Saccharomyces cerevisiae S288C: one gene and its partners. The gene in region 3 interacts genetically with the main gene of each other region. Each region holds a gene or a part of one and is shown on either strand. Other genes may lie near its edges. The genes, in order: RPA34, SIF2 and THP2.

The links.
Region 1: mutations in THP2 (region 3) and RPA34 together harm fitness more than expected from each alone (negative genetic interaction), as found in Saccharomyces cerevisiae (6 studies listed by BioGRID).
Region 2: mutations in THP2 (region 3) and SIF2 together harm fitness more than expected from each alone (negative genetic interaction), as found in Saccharomyces cerevisiae (6 studies listed by BioGRID).

The regions. Positions count from the first base shown.
Region 1 is NC_001142.9:137,288-143,685, forward strand, and holds RPA34 (DNA-directed RNA polymerase I subunit RPA34), read left to right. Parts: upstream 1-3,149; coding exon 3,150-3,851; downstream 3,852-6,398. Other genes in the region: SCF ubiquitin ligase complex subunit DAS1, read left to right, coding at 92-2,083; SMT1 (Smt1p), read right to left, coding at 4,132-5,280; IDS2 (Ids2p), read left to right, coding at 6,005-6,398. UniProt on the Saccharomyces cerevisiae protein: DNA-dependent RNA polymerases catalyze the transcription of DNA into RNA using the four ribonucleoside triphosphates as substrates. Component of RNA polymerase I (Pol I) which synthesizes ribosomal RNA precursors.
Region 2 is NC_001134.8:445,750-450,427, forward strand, and holds SIF2 (Sif2p), read left to right. Parts: upstream 1-1,959; coding exon 1,960-3,567; downstream 3,568-4,678. Other genes in the region: exocyst subunit EXO84, read right to left, coding at 1-1,574; YMC2 (organic acid transporter), read left to right, coding at 3,918-4,678. UniProt on the Saccharomyces cerevisiae protein: Antagonizes telomeric silencing in yeast. May recruit SIR4 to non-telomeric sites or repression.
Region 3 is NC_001140.6:437,586-440,627, reverse strand, and holds THP2 (Thp2p), read right to left. Parts: upstream 1,287-3,042; coding exon 501-1,286; downstream 1-500. Other genes in the region: putative GTPase MTG2, read right to left, coding at 1-251; anaphase promoting complex subunit CDC23, read left to right, coding at 1,578-3,042. UniProt on the Saccharomyces cerevisiae protein: Component the THO subcomplex of the TREX complex, which operates in coupling transcription elongation to mRNA export. The THO complex is recruited to transcribed genes and moves along the gene with the elongating polymerase during transcription.

The DNA of each region.
Region 1 (6,398 bases), on a different chromosome or scaffold from region 3:
CGAATTGTAGATTTCGATGGAGATCTGATTTCCGTGCAAAATATCCAGGACGTCTATACACAGTGTTTACAACTCAGCTTATATTCATATCATGCCATTTCAAGATTATTTTCAGAAGAAAAAAGCAGCGTTCATTAACAGAAACAATAAAAGTAACGCAGATGCTTCAGCGCTACGAGATATTAACGATATTAACATAAATTTCGCCGCCAAGAGCAAAAACTACGTGTTCCCGCTAACAAAGCTCCCCGATGAGCTCATGCAAGAAGTATTCTCTCATTTGCCGCAACCAGACCGCTTGCAGCTTTGCCTTGTGAACAAAAGGTTGAATAAGATCGCTACCAAACTGCTTTATAGAAGAATATATTTGAACGACTCAAATGTAGTGAAGAGTGACTTCATGCATCTCGCAATTAATTGGACCCTACTGAACTTGCCGTCTTCGTTGAAAGAAGAGGAGTCCCGCGATATCGCCAACTGCAAATTGAAAAAACTTATAGAAACACTGCAAAATAATATTCACATTACTGAAGTCATCCAGTGGATAAGGATCAACTGGGATTTGGACTCTACCTTGCAAAGGTCCATTCTCAGCATCCTTTGCAATCAGGGCAAGTCCTTGCAAAGACTAGAAAACGTCACTGACCCGGCTTGTAACGATATCATCTCCAATGGTCACTTTTCCAGGAGCAACGTCTCAAGTTTCGACATGGCTCCTCCAAATTCATTGCCTGAGATGGTTGTTCCCGAAAATTACATTCCGAATCTCACCAAATATCTTTCACAGCGTATCTCTTCTCGGCTTTCTCATATGACTTTATTCATCGACCCTTTAAAACTGTTCAATTATCTTTACCCTTTAGATATCAAGTTACAAATCATCGATTTAAAATTGCATTGGAGGAGGGAGTTTTACAATAATGATTATTTTGTTAAAAAGATACGACCCGGCAATCCTCTGACTAAACTATCGGAGGTTTTTGACAAGAGGACATTGAAAATTCTTACCATCATTTCTTGGAATGACACTTTGTTAAAACGCGAGACAGAAATGCTGAAAGATTTTAAAGAATTTGAGAACCTGGAAGATTTGTCTTTGATTTCTATTAAGCAGGATGTTCATATCCTCGTAGATCTTTTTAGTTCGTTAACCAATTTGAAAAGACTAAAAATGGATTTCTTAGAGGAGTATGTACCTGAACCCACAAATCCTCACATATTTCTCTCCATTCTTTTAGCTTGCTCCAAATTGCAATTCATAGATCTGAGATACGACGGTCTTATCCCACAAATCATCAATATTCAAGAAAATAAGTTCCAACTAAATCAGCAATGCAACTGCACAAACTGTCAAATAGTATTCAGTGACATTCTGAAGGGCAAAATATTCATGTTCCCTGAAGACTACTATATTCACGATCTTCAAGACATTGCTGCAAAGGATATTTTTAAAATGATGAAATACCTATCTTTGTTACCATACTCTAAAGCTTGTGATGCTTATCCGAGCGTTAGAACACAACCAATGAATTTGACTAATTTTGTGACCAAGATGAACCGCAACCTTTTGGAATATAGAAATTCTAAATCCCAGTTGGTGCCCAAAATCGTTAATAACCCACATCAACACTCCACCGTGACTTCCACATCAACCGCTCATATGAGCGAGCCCGAAATGATAATAATCGATGACGATGATGATGATGATGAAATTAATGCGGCCATTCCTCCAAGTAGTGATGACACAGCAGCTACAATTTCCACTGACCTGGAACTTCCTCATGAATCATTGACCAAAAGAGATATTATTATGTGTTATCACGCTCTTATCCATCACTTCAAGTCGATTTACGTTACTTTTTTGAAAAGTTTTCCTCATTTGAGATTCTTGATGTTGAATGACATTCCCACAATAGTTATGGAGGAGAATAATGAACGTATTTTTGAACCCGTCTTTTATCATTATGATTATAAGAGTAATCTGTATGGATGGTCAAAGGAATCGAACAAGAATCTGGAGAACGACAGCAACAACAACAATAATAATTCTGATACCATTGCAAGAATAGCCACTGTTATGTAATCAACTCCCCTTCAAATATATATATTTAATAATATATATTCAACGCATTTTTTAAGCTAGCAGGATTCAGATTACTGGTCTACTTCATATTAAGGAAATACAAGATCCATTCGGATGCTAGAAAAAAATCAACCAACTATTCCAATGTTGGTAAGCTGGTTTGATAAAGTAAACACAAGATACTACAGTATACGATCACTCAGACATCCTAGGAAGGTCTCTAAAGAAGAGCGGTCACCGAGAGTACTAACGATGGGTTCGTAAGCGTACTCCTACCGTGGAAACTGCGAATGTTAAGGAACCAGTCTTTCATCACCGTGATCATAAATTATATATATTATCTGTCTCCTCAAATTACCCACATTTGATAATCTCATGAGAAAAAATAAAGGCTCAGATCTGCATGTGTTGTATAACACTGGCAAGAAAAGTTCCCGTTTGCAAACACAAATGATTAAAAAAAAATGTCACAGAAGCAACATCTTTTCAAAATCATTCGCATTAAGAGAACGAGATAAAATCCCTTGTCGTCATGGTCGAATCGGACGAGGAAAGAAGAGACACCATTATCATCAGGGCCAATCAATTCTTCTTTTCTGTTTAAAAAAGTGTCATGAAATTTCTCTTGAGATTATTCAAACTTGAATGTATCAAATGGGAAGGAGTGCAATGCTGAAGTCGAAAGAGGAGGATTACTCTCATTCTTACTACATTACAGTCACTGCTGTTTGTTCTTATGTAGGGGAATTCTTATTAACCGAATGTCGAGATTATTATAACCTTACAGAAGGTTGTCCAGTATTTATACATTTTGTTTCTGCCCATAAAGCTCTAGAAAATGAAAAAAAATTTTCTTTTCAGCCTGAGAAAGTTTTTTCTTAGGGCAGCGTGTGGTTATTGGGTGTTGCGAAACTTTTTTTCTCAAACATGAAATTAAAGAAATGAAAAATTTTATCGATGAGCATTGAATAGCTCAAGTTATAGGGTATTCGGTATCATATAGGTCTGTGATCGAGTGAGCAGTGAGCAGCTAGGATTCAATAAACGGGATTAACAAAAAATTGATATGTCCAAGCTTTCGAAAGATTACGTATCAGATTCAGACTCTGATGATGAAGTGATATCAAACGAGTTCAGCATACCAGATGGTTTCAAGAAATGTAAACATTTAAAGAATTTCCCTCTCAACGGTGATAACAAAAAAAAAGCGAAACAGCAACAGGTTTGGCTGATCAAATTCCCATCAAATGTGGACATCTCCAAGTTAAAATCTCTGCCTGTAGATTTTGAATCCTCTACAACCATGACAATTGATAAACACGATTATAAAATCATGGACGATACAGATATTGAGTCCTCGTTAACACAGGATAACCTCAGTAATATGACTTTATTGGTTCCTTCGGAAAGTAAGGAAAGTCTTAAAATTGCTAGCACTGCCAAGGATAATGCACCATTACAGTTTGACAAGGTATTTTCTGTCAGCGAAACCGCTAAAATCCCAGCTATTGATTACAGTAAGGTAAGAGTTCCACGTAAAGATGTTCCAAAAGTAGAAGGCTTGAAGTTGGAGCATTTTGCTACTGGTTATGATGCCGAAGATTTCCATGTGGCTGAGGAAGTTAAAGAAAATAAGAAAGAACCAAAGAAGCGTTCACATCACGACGATGAAGAGGAGTCTAGTGAAAAGAAGAAAAAGAAGAAGGAGAAGAGGGAGAAGAGGGAGAAGAAGGATAAAAAGGATAAGAAAAAGAAACATAGAGATTGAATGCGTATGTGCGTATAACTGTGTGTAACATAAGATAAAAATGTGCATTTGTGTGTGTGTCAGTGATTTTTTTTCGCATTTACATATATAAAAAGGCATTTCTGCTGGTGGAAACTGATGAATGTTTTGTGTGGGCAATATTACTATTTAGTTTTGCATACTTAAATTTGTGTATACGATTAGAAATTTCAATATTTCGGGTGTAACACAAACGATTATTTTTTTCTTGATTTAGAGTCGCCATATGAATATTATTAACCTGCTTTTTCTGTGTTCTCTCTTATATGAGGTTCAATGGTAAGTGTGTTTTTAACTCGTGTTCTTCTTCATTAATCATCTTTAATACACTTCCAAGGTTGACCTGTAAATCTTCAAAGATTAGTTTATCCTGGCACGTCCGATGGATACTCCGTATAGAAATATCTAAGGATCTAATAAATTTGTATTGGTCCATTATTGGTGTGGACGGTTTCTTCGGTGACTCCAGCATTATTTTGCTTTGTATACTCAATTTTACGATATCAATTAACCATTTTTTGACCAATTTTGGTTCCTCTTCAACGCATTTCGAAATAGCCCTTAAAATACGAACAAGCAGGATTTGATTTTGGGTGAAAGAGAAACCATCATCTTTATTGTGGTTCAGGACCGTTAAATCAGGCAATATATGTGACTTTTCATACAAAGATTGATAAATTAAAATCAAATCGTTATTCCTCCAATTTGCGCCTAAAAGCTTAATGTAATGAATTATATTTTGACGAATATTATCTTCAGATACGTTAGAAGTTAGACATCTCCACAAAAGACGTCGCAGAGGAAACGGTAGATCACTGTAATCGGACAACCAACGAGGCTCGTAGTCTTTTCTTATTTGCACATCGTGCGTTCTATAATACAACAGGATGGATATCACTACTCTTTGGTATTCGTCAAACAAGGCTCTGTGCTCCCATACTTTATCGAATTTGTTGAACTTTTTTGAGAGCAAAATTTCTGTTATTTGACGCACATTAGTTAACTTGCCCACATACTGCAAAAGCAGCAGCCTATCATATAGATCCTCGGACGATGAACCTTGTAGTTCCTTCGAAGAAGAACTTTTGTTATCCGTTGCCTGGGTAACTATTGAGTTCAAATGTGAGAAAAGCACATCGTAATGAACAGCTACTTTTTGTTTCTTGGACTCTACTTCCGGTAGATTTGAATTCAGTATTCTCAGGATGTTCTCTATATGGTGATTTTGAAGATTATTTTCTTTAGTGCGTGAACGATTCAATAAGGAACCTTGTTCATTAACTTCAGAAGATTCAAACAAAGGCCCCAACAACTTCACTGGACCTTTGGTCAAGTATTTTAGAGTTGATTTCAGCTCATCATCTTTCGACTTCAATAGTCGGGTTGCTAACTGAGAAAAAGTCCTCCTCATAATCAATGATTCCTGTAGATAAAATTGACAAAAGGCAGCGCACGCACTATTTCCCTTTAGCCAGCACAATTACTTATGCGTGTTGTTGTTTAGGGTTCGTAAATCTATATTGAAACGCAATTTATATTCTACTGTTTTCTTTTCGCACAAACAGAAAACCGCTGTCACATTATTGTATGACTGTTGATATCGGACCATCATTTTCGACACTTTCATTGAGGGGAAAAATGTTGGTGTCATTACGCTCTCTACTCATGTCTTTATGTAAGTATACGTTTACAAGATTATTTATATGCTATGACACTACGGGTTCTCAACTTGCAGCAAAACAAGAAGCAGTTAGCGGCACATTTCGGTGCAAAAACTTATCAGCAGTTTTTGCTGCCTCTCTTTCACTAATCTAACTTACTATGTACGGCCGATAGCAGTATATTGTGCTTTTTACTGTCTTTTATTACTTTTGCTGTTGCTCTTGCTCTTGACTGTTCCCATCTTTGCTTCGGAAATTTCCCCATGCGCTGCAGGACAGAAACACAAGCATGATTGAAGCAATCGAATTGTGCAGTCGAGTTCAAAATTGGCAGAGAAGAAAAGAGGTGGAAATTGCAACACGAATCACCGCTTTACCACGCAAAGATATCTGGATTCTTGATATCAATCTTTTTCAAATATATTTTATTTATTTATCAAAAGGGCAAGAAAGAAAAAACGATTGATAATAAAAATGGATAATCAGCAGGAAAGTATATCTGAAGATATCACCGGTGATCTGGCCGCTGCTGTGAGAAAGTCATGGTCCGAGTCACAAGATAATCCATTACTGTTAAATTTTAATAATTCTCCCATAGGTACTCCCACTGATAGGTACTCCCCTGAACCAGCAACGATGATGGAAGGAAATGCAATGAATCTTTCATCACTTGCGAGAGGGTCGACACAGCAGCAGCAAAGGCTTTATGGATCTTCTCAAACACGCGAAAAATCTGATCAACAGCAGCAGGATTATCAGCTGTTCAAACATCATTATTCTTTGGGACAGGAGACGAGAGAGTCTGTTTCAGATATCCTTAACGATTTGACTCTAGGATCTCCGGAACCAAGCGAAAGGGCATCACCAA
Region 2 (4,678 bases), on a different chromosome or scaffold from region 3:
TCTCTGGACCTTGGCCTCGAATGCATTGATAGAGTTAGGTTCTGCAAAAGATATTGATCCATTGCGCCTGTTACATTTCGGCCAGGAGTGATTGAACCCCCCATACTACGTCTTTTGTTTTTGTTAGGGCTTCTGTTGTTTTCTCTACCTGGGGTTTGTTGCGTAGATTGCAAATATCTAAAGGACTCTCTAATACGTTTAGAGTTCTCCTCTTCTACATGGAATATGTCGCACAAATCATCCTTAGCCTTTCTTATAACGTCCAACAACCTAGAGCATTCGTCTGCGTCTCTACATTCATACAAACTTGAATTCGAATTGCTAAACTTGAAAAGTAGCCTCTTAGTGGAAAATTCCTCTTGCGTGACAGTGACATCCTTTAAAGGATAGCACTGGCTTACTATAAAGTCATTTTGCTTATCTCTTGATTTATCGGCGATAAGTACCAAATCATTCAAAATGAAAATCTGTACCATCTGCAAGGGTTTACCAGTGGTAGTATTTAATTCCATCCAATTGGCACTATTCATTAAAATATGTCTTCCTTTCGTAGAATTGATAAACTTCTGAGCACCTTCAACGTTCTTAAACAGCTGATCCAGTTCCGTATCCCAAAATTTCTCTAATATCAAGACGCTCGATCTGTCCCTCCTCATGAGATTCCCATTTTGTCCTGCTTTCAAAGGCGGAAGTAACGCTGGACTATTAGAATGACTTTCAACATTGTTAAAATTGCCTTGTCTCTCTTGATCTATTTGATCCTGCAATTGTAACCTTTTTTCAGCTATTTTGGTGCACTGATCCAAAACCTCGTTTAAATCATTTATATTTGCTCTAACCCTTTTAAGCTCCAACATAGCAACATTTAGGTCGTTGTTTACCGTCATGATTTCGTTATATGATTTATTGATATTTAACTTTACTTCTTCTTGGACCTGTATCGATAAATCTGTTAAATTTGAGGTAAATTTATCAATAGTAATGGCACTCGCATTGCCTAGTTTATCATGAACAAAATCTTTAGCATTAAAATGCGGGTTTGCCAACATCTTTCTTAGCGACGTGCTATTATTGAAAGGATCATTACTGCCGGAAGGATTGACAGTATTTCGCATTGCTGATCTAGCAGGCACCTTATTATAGGAGCTGTCGTTCAGGGAGAGATCGGCAGTTGAAAGATTTAAACTGTTGGAAGGGCCTTTAGAGCTTACCGATTCGTTCTCAGTGGTGAAACTACTATTATTATGACTACTATCCACATTATCATTGGGAACTATCATGTTTGGCATATCAGGTAGGGGCATTGAGTAATCTAGTGTAGGTGGAGCATAATTTGTATTATGAATTGATAGTCTTCTCTGCATTGAAGTTGCTACCCTACTTCTCTCCCTTGCATTGATTGTTGGTAGCGTATAACTGGTAGCCGGATCCTTGAGATCACTATAAGGGTTCTTTTTTGTTTTTTGTTTAGGCTTAGCAGGCGATGGAGGTGTCTTTTGCTTAGCAGGAGAGCTTGCAGACTTCTTTACATGCTTCCAATTGTTTCTGGCCTTCTTCAAAGAAAACTCAACCATTTTCACAGTACAAATATTTCAACTTTCAGTCTCTTACCTGGTCTAATATGAAGGCTTTTTGTTCATTCGGCTTTGCTCAAGGTCTTACAAATATACTATTAACTGCAGTCTCTAGTCTCTTTTTCCAGTCATCTATTTTCATGGAGCGGAACTTAGCAAACGAGAAATAAACAAAAATGATTAGGAATGTATTCATGTTGAAAAGGTTATGAGATATGCAAGACCATTCGTTTTGATTTGCAATTAGTGAGAACAATTTAAACACCTTGGTGCGAAATTGAAGGTTTTTTTTTCCAAAGAAGTGTACAGCCCACACTAACAACTGCTAACTCAGATAAAAATAACAGAAACAAAAAAAAGGTAGGGAAGGCCCATCACACGGAAAATGAGTATAACAAGTGAAGAACTAAACTACTTGATATGGAGGTATTGTCAAGAGATGGGACACGAGGTGAGTGCATTAGCATTGCAGGATGAAACAAGAGTATTGGAATTTGATGAGAAGTATAAAGAACACATTCCTTTGGGTACACTGGTGAATCTAGTACAAAGGGGAATCTTGTATACAGAAAGTGAGTTAATGGTTGATAGTAAAGGTGATATCAGCGCTTTAAATGAACATCATCTTTCTGAAGATTTCAATTTGGTTCAGGCGCTGCAAATAGATAAAGAAAAATTTCCTGAGATCTCTTCTGAAGGAAGGTTCACTTTGGAAACCAATTCCGAGAGTAATAAAGCAGGTGAAGATGGCGCTAGTACTGTTGAAAGAGAAACCCAAGAGGACGATACTAATTCTATTGACAGTAGTGATGACCTAGACGGATTTGTCAAAATACTGAAGGAGATAGTAAAATTAGATAATATTGTTTCCTCCACTTGGAATCCATTGGATGAATCTATACTCGCATACGGTGAAAAAAATTCTGTTGCAAGACTAGCGAGGATAGTAGAAACCGATCAAGAAGGGAAAAAATACTGGAAACTCACGATAATAGCGGAGTTGAGACATCCTTTTGCTCTGAGTGCAAGTAGTGGTAAAACGACGAATCAAGTCACATGTCTTGCTTGGTCACACGATGGTAATTCAATTGTCACGGGTGTAGAAAATGGTGAGCTAAGACTATGGAATAAGACGGGGGCACTTCTGAATGTTTTAAATTTTCATAGAGCACCTATAGTATCCGTTAAATGGAACAAAGATGGAACACATATCATATCCATGGACGTGGAAAATGTCACTATACTCTGGAATGTTATAAGCGGGACCGTCATGCAGCACTTTGAATTAAAAGAAACCGGTGGCTCATCCATCAACGCAGAGAACCATAGTGGCGATGGTTCACTTGGGGTTGACGTTGAATGGGTAGACGATGACAAATTTGTCATTCCTGGCCCTAAAGGTGCTATATTTGTATACCAAATTACAGAAAAAACGCCCACTGGTAAACTTATTGGACACCATGGACCTATCAGCGTTTTGGAGTTCAATGACACCAATAAACTTCTACTTAGTGCCTCAGACGATGGTACTCTAAGAATATGGCATGGCGGTAACGGCAATTCTCAGAATTGCTTCTACGGACACTCACAAAGCATAGTATCGGCATCATGGGTCGGTGATGATAAGGTAATATCCTGCTCGATGGATGGCTCCGTTCGCCTATGGTCGCTGAAGCAGAATACGCTATTGGCTCTATCAATCGTGGATGGTGTCCCAATTTTTGCTGGAAGAATATCACAAGATGGACAGAAGTACGCAGTTGCTTTCATGGATGGGCAGGTAAACGTCTACGATTTAAAAAAACTGAACAGCAAGTCACGAAGTCTTTATGGTAACCGTGATGGGATTTTGAATCCATTACCAATTCCCCTCTACGCTAGCTACCAAAGCAGCCAAGACAATGATTATATATTTGATCTGTCATGGAACTGTGCGGGAAACAAGATTTCTGTAGCATACTCGCTTCAAGAAGGTTCAGTTGTAGCCATATAATAACTAGGTACAGTACATAAACAGATGAATTTTATCATTCTTATTGTTATTTCTTTGTTTACAAAAGGTGAAAAGTGAAAAATTTCGCAATGGAAAACGTCGCGGGCCGCCTTTGAGTGACGTTGTGCAGGAATCTCGAAGAGTCATCACTTTGAAGATAACGGCCGCTCGCGATGAGAGAAGACAATGAGCATTGCTTTTTTATAATTTTTTATACCTTGTGTTAAAATAAGTTTCTTTAATTAGTTTTCACCTCTTGGATGATACAACTGTAATTGATAAATAGGGGTAGCCATAAAGAACAGAAAAAAGCGGCGCAATAATTTCGTGTATTACAATTACAGTTAGTCATGAGTGAAGAATTTCCTACGCCGCAGCTTTTGGATGAATTGGAAGATCAACAGAAAGTTACCACGCCGAATGAGAAGAGAGAGTTAAGTTCTAATCGTGTGTTGAAGGATATTTTTGCGGGTACCATCGGTGGTATTGCACAAGTTCTTGTAGGGCAACCGTTTGATACAACAAAAGTTAGGCTTCAAACAGCCACCACAAGAACAACAACGTTGGAGGTATTGCGTAACTTGGTAAAGAATGAGGGTGTGTTTGCATTCTACAAAGGTGCGTTAACACCGTTATTGGGTGTTGGTATATGTGTCTCAGTACAATTTGGTGTGAATGAGGCGATGAAAAGATTTTTCCAAAATTACAACGCTTCTAAGAACCCGAATATGAGCTCACAGGACGTAGATCTTTCACGTTCAAATACTCTGCCACTATCCCAGTACTACGTTTGTGGGTTGACAGGTGGTGTAGTCAATTCATTCTTGGCATCGCCCATTGAACAAATAAGAATTCGTTTGCAGACGCAAACATCTAATGGTGGAGACAGAGAATTCAAAGGTCCTTGGGACTGTATTAAAAAATTGAAAGCTCAAGGTGGATTGATGAGGGGTTTATTTCCCACAATGATAAGAGCCGGACATGGGCTTGGTACATATTTTCTTGTCTACGAAGCATTGGTTGCCAGAGAAATTGGTACGGGACTAACAAGAAACGAAATTCCTCCTTGGAAATTATGCTTATTTGGTGCATTTTCCGGGACAATGTTGTG
Region 3 (3,042 bases):
TGCTTATTATACCGTTGTAGATAGTTGACAGAAGTGACTTCGCCCAGAGGAACATTAATGTGTCTTGTGTAACTGACATCATGGTCGGACTTTTTCTGTTCTGGGTGAGTTATAGGTCTTAGGGTTTCTAGCCATTGTTCATTGTCAGCCGCTCTTGGTGCATTATCAGGAACTTTCGTCGAATATACTCTTGGTAAAAATCTTTCAAGCCGTAATTCTCTTTTGAAAACGCTAGACCAAGCTATCGACATATCTAGATGCTCTGGCCGAGGACTGATTCTTGATGATATTCTCAGTACGTACACATCCTATTAAACGCTAAATAAACCAGCATGTTTTTTCCTTCAGTACTATTTCGGGGAAGTGAAAATAATAGATAGAACAAATAAAATATTAAAAAGCTCTTTAAAAAATAATACAATTTTTCTCTTTCTTCCCTCCCACTCAACAAGTATGTATAACTCTATCTAACTTGTGCAGGCTGGTTAAATAAAATGTGCTTATTCTAAAACTATGTCACCTTCTTTATCTACAGGATAGCTTTCCGATGGAGCATTTATTTCAGACTTTAATGAATCTATCTTCTGGATCATTTTTTTCATAGAATGTGCATCATCACCGAACATAAGCATTTCTATATCGTCCCATTCTTTTCGCCAATGGTTTAGTTCCTTTGTCAAAGTAGAGAGTCTTTCCTTTAAGGAATACTTATTCTCTAAACCAAATTTGGCACGTGCCATTTTGATCTGATCTAGATAGTTCTTGATTTGAGCGTCTACACCACGTATATCAGTATCAGGCGCACAGTACTGCTCGAGAATACCCTGAAGTTTCTCAGATGGAACCCATTTATCCATTTCATACACTGTCACTGATGGATCAGACACTTCCACCTGCTTTGCTAAATCAACAGAAAGTCGCTTCAGTAAATTTATGTACCTTAAAGTATCCCTATTCAAATGTTCGAAAGTAGAATAGTACTCGCTAATACTCTTAGGATTCTGTACTCCCGCTGCAACGTCCCTTCCAGTTTTTGTATCCTCCAAAAGCTGTGCTTCTCTTGTTTGATATTTATCGTATCGCAGGCGGATGGAACTATTTATCAGCTCCCTGTGTAAATCAGGCAACTTCTTGAGGGATTCAGTAAGCAGATCATCAGATGATCTAGGGTCTGCCAATACTGATAATATATCTAAAATATTTAATAAGTGGGTTTGGCTTTCCTGCAAACTTTGTTCCTCCTCGCAGAGAGATTCAAAATACGTACGACCTTCTTCCTTTGTCATGCTATGAACTTGATAACTTGAGCAGTGTAAACCTGATAAACTAGTCGCTGTTGTTTCTTACTGTAAGATACTGCACTTCTGCAGCTTCTTAAGTATTCTACTTACCAAGTTTCTATTATTTTTCAATGCGCGTACATAAAAAGCACTTCGGGTAAAACAAACACTTCATAATAGCAGACCAAGTACTGCGGTACTCACATCAAATTAAGAGGAAGAAGGGAGTATTAGCGAGCGGAAAACTGAAATCTGGATATATACTGATCAGAATCAGATTGTGAAGCATTTAGAACCATGAATGACGACAGCCAGGATAAAATAATACATGATATACGTATTCAGCTACGAAAGGCTGCCACAGAATTATCACGATGGAAGCTATACGGCTCCTCAAAGTGGGCAGCAGAGGCGCTAGCAGGTCTTGCAGAAGCTATTGATGTTGATCAAACACACTCTTTAGCCGATGAATCGCCACTAAGAAATAAACAAGGTGTACCGAAACAGATGTTTGAAATACCACAAAACGGGTTTGGCCTATCAGAGACTGAGTATGACCTGTACCTCCTTGGTTCTACGTTGTTTGATGCTAAAGAGTTTGATCGATGCGTTTTTTTTCTAAAAGATGTCACTAATCCATACCTTAAGTTCTTAAAATTATACAGTAAATTTCTATCGTGGGATAAGAAAAGCCAGGAAAGTATGGAAAATATCTTAACTACAGGGAAGTTTACGGACGAAATGTACAGAGCTAACAAAGATGGGGATGGTAGTGGGAATGAGGATATAAATCAAAGTGGGCACCAACGCGCCAATTTAAAAATGGTCAGCAATGAGCATGAGTCACAATCGAACATATCATCTATTTTGAAGGAAATTAACACATTTCTGGAGTCTTATGAAATAAAGATAGACGATGATGAGGCCGATTTAGGGTTAGCACTGTTGTATTATTTACGAGGGGTCATCTTAAAGCAAGAGAAGAATATTTCTAAGGCAATGTCGTCATTCTTGAAATCTCTGAGTTGCTACTCCTTTAACTGGTCCTGCTGGCTGGAGTTAATGGACTGTTTACAAAAGGTTGACGATGCATTGCTTTTAAATAATTATCTATATCAAAATTTCCAATTCAAATTTTCTGAAAATCTTGGTAGTCAACGAACGATAGAATTTAATATAATGATCAAATTTTTCAAGCTAAAAGTGTTTGAGGAGCTTAATGGCCAGTTAGAGGACTACTTTGAAGATTTAGAGTTTTTGTTACAAGTTTTCCCCAATTTCACTTTTTTAAAGGCTTACAATGCTACTATTAGTTACAACAATTTGGATTATGTTACCGCAGAAAGCCGATTTGATGACATCGTTAAACAAGATCCGTACCGTCTCAACGATTTGGAAACCTACTCCAATATTCTATACGTCATGCAGAAGAATTCAAAATTAGCCTATTTGGCGCAATTCGTCTCCCAAATAGATAGATTTAGACCGGAAACATGTTGTATCATAGCGAACTATTACAGTGCCCGACAGGAACATGAAAAATCTATCATGTATTTCCGTCGAGCACTAACTTTGGATAAAAAAACAACAAACGCATGGACTTTGATGGGTCACGAATTTGTTGAACTAAGCAATTCACATGCCGCAATAGAATGCTATCGTCGGGCCGTAGATATATGCCCTCGAGACTTCAAAGCATGGTTTGGTTTGGGCCAGGCTTATGCTCTCCTGGACATGCATTTATATTCTCTTTACTACTTCC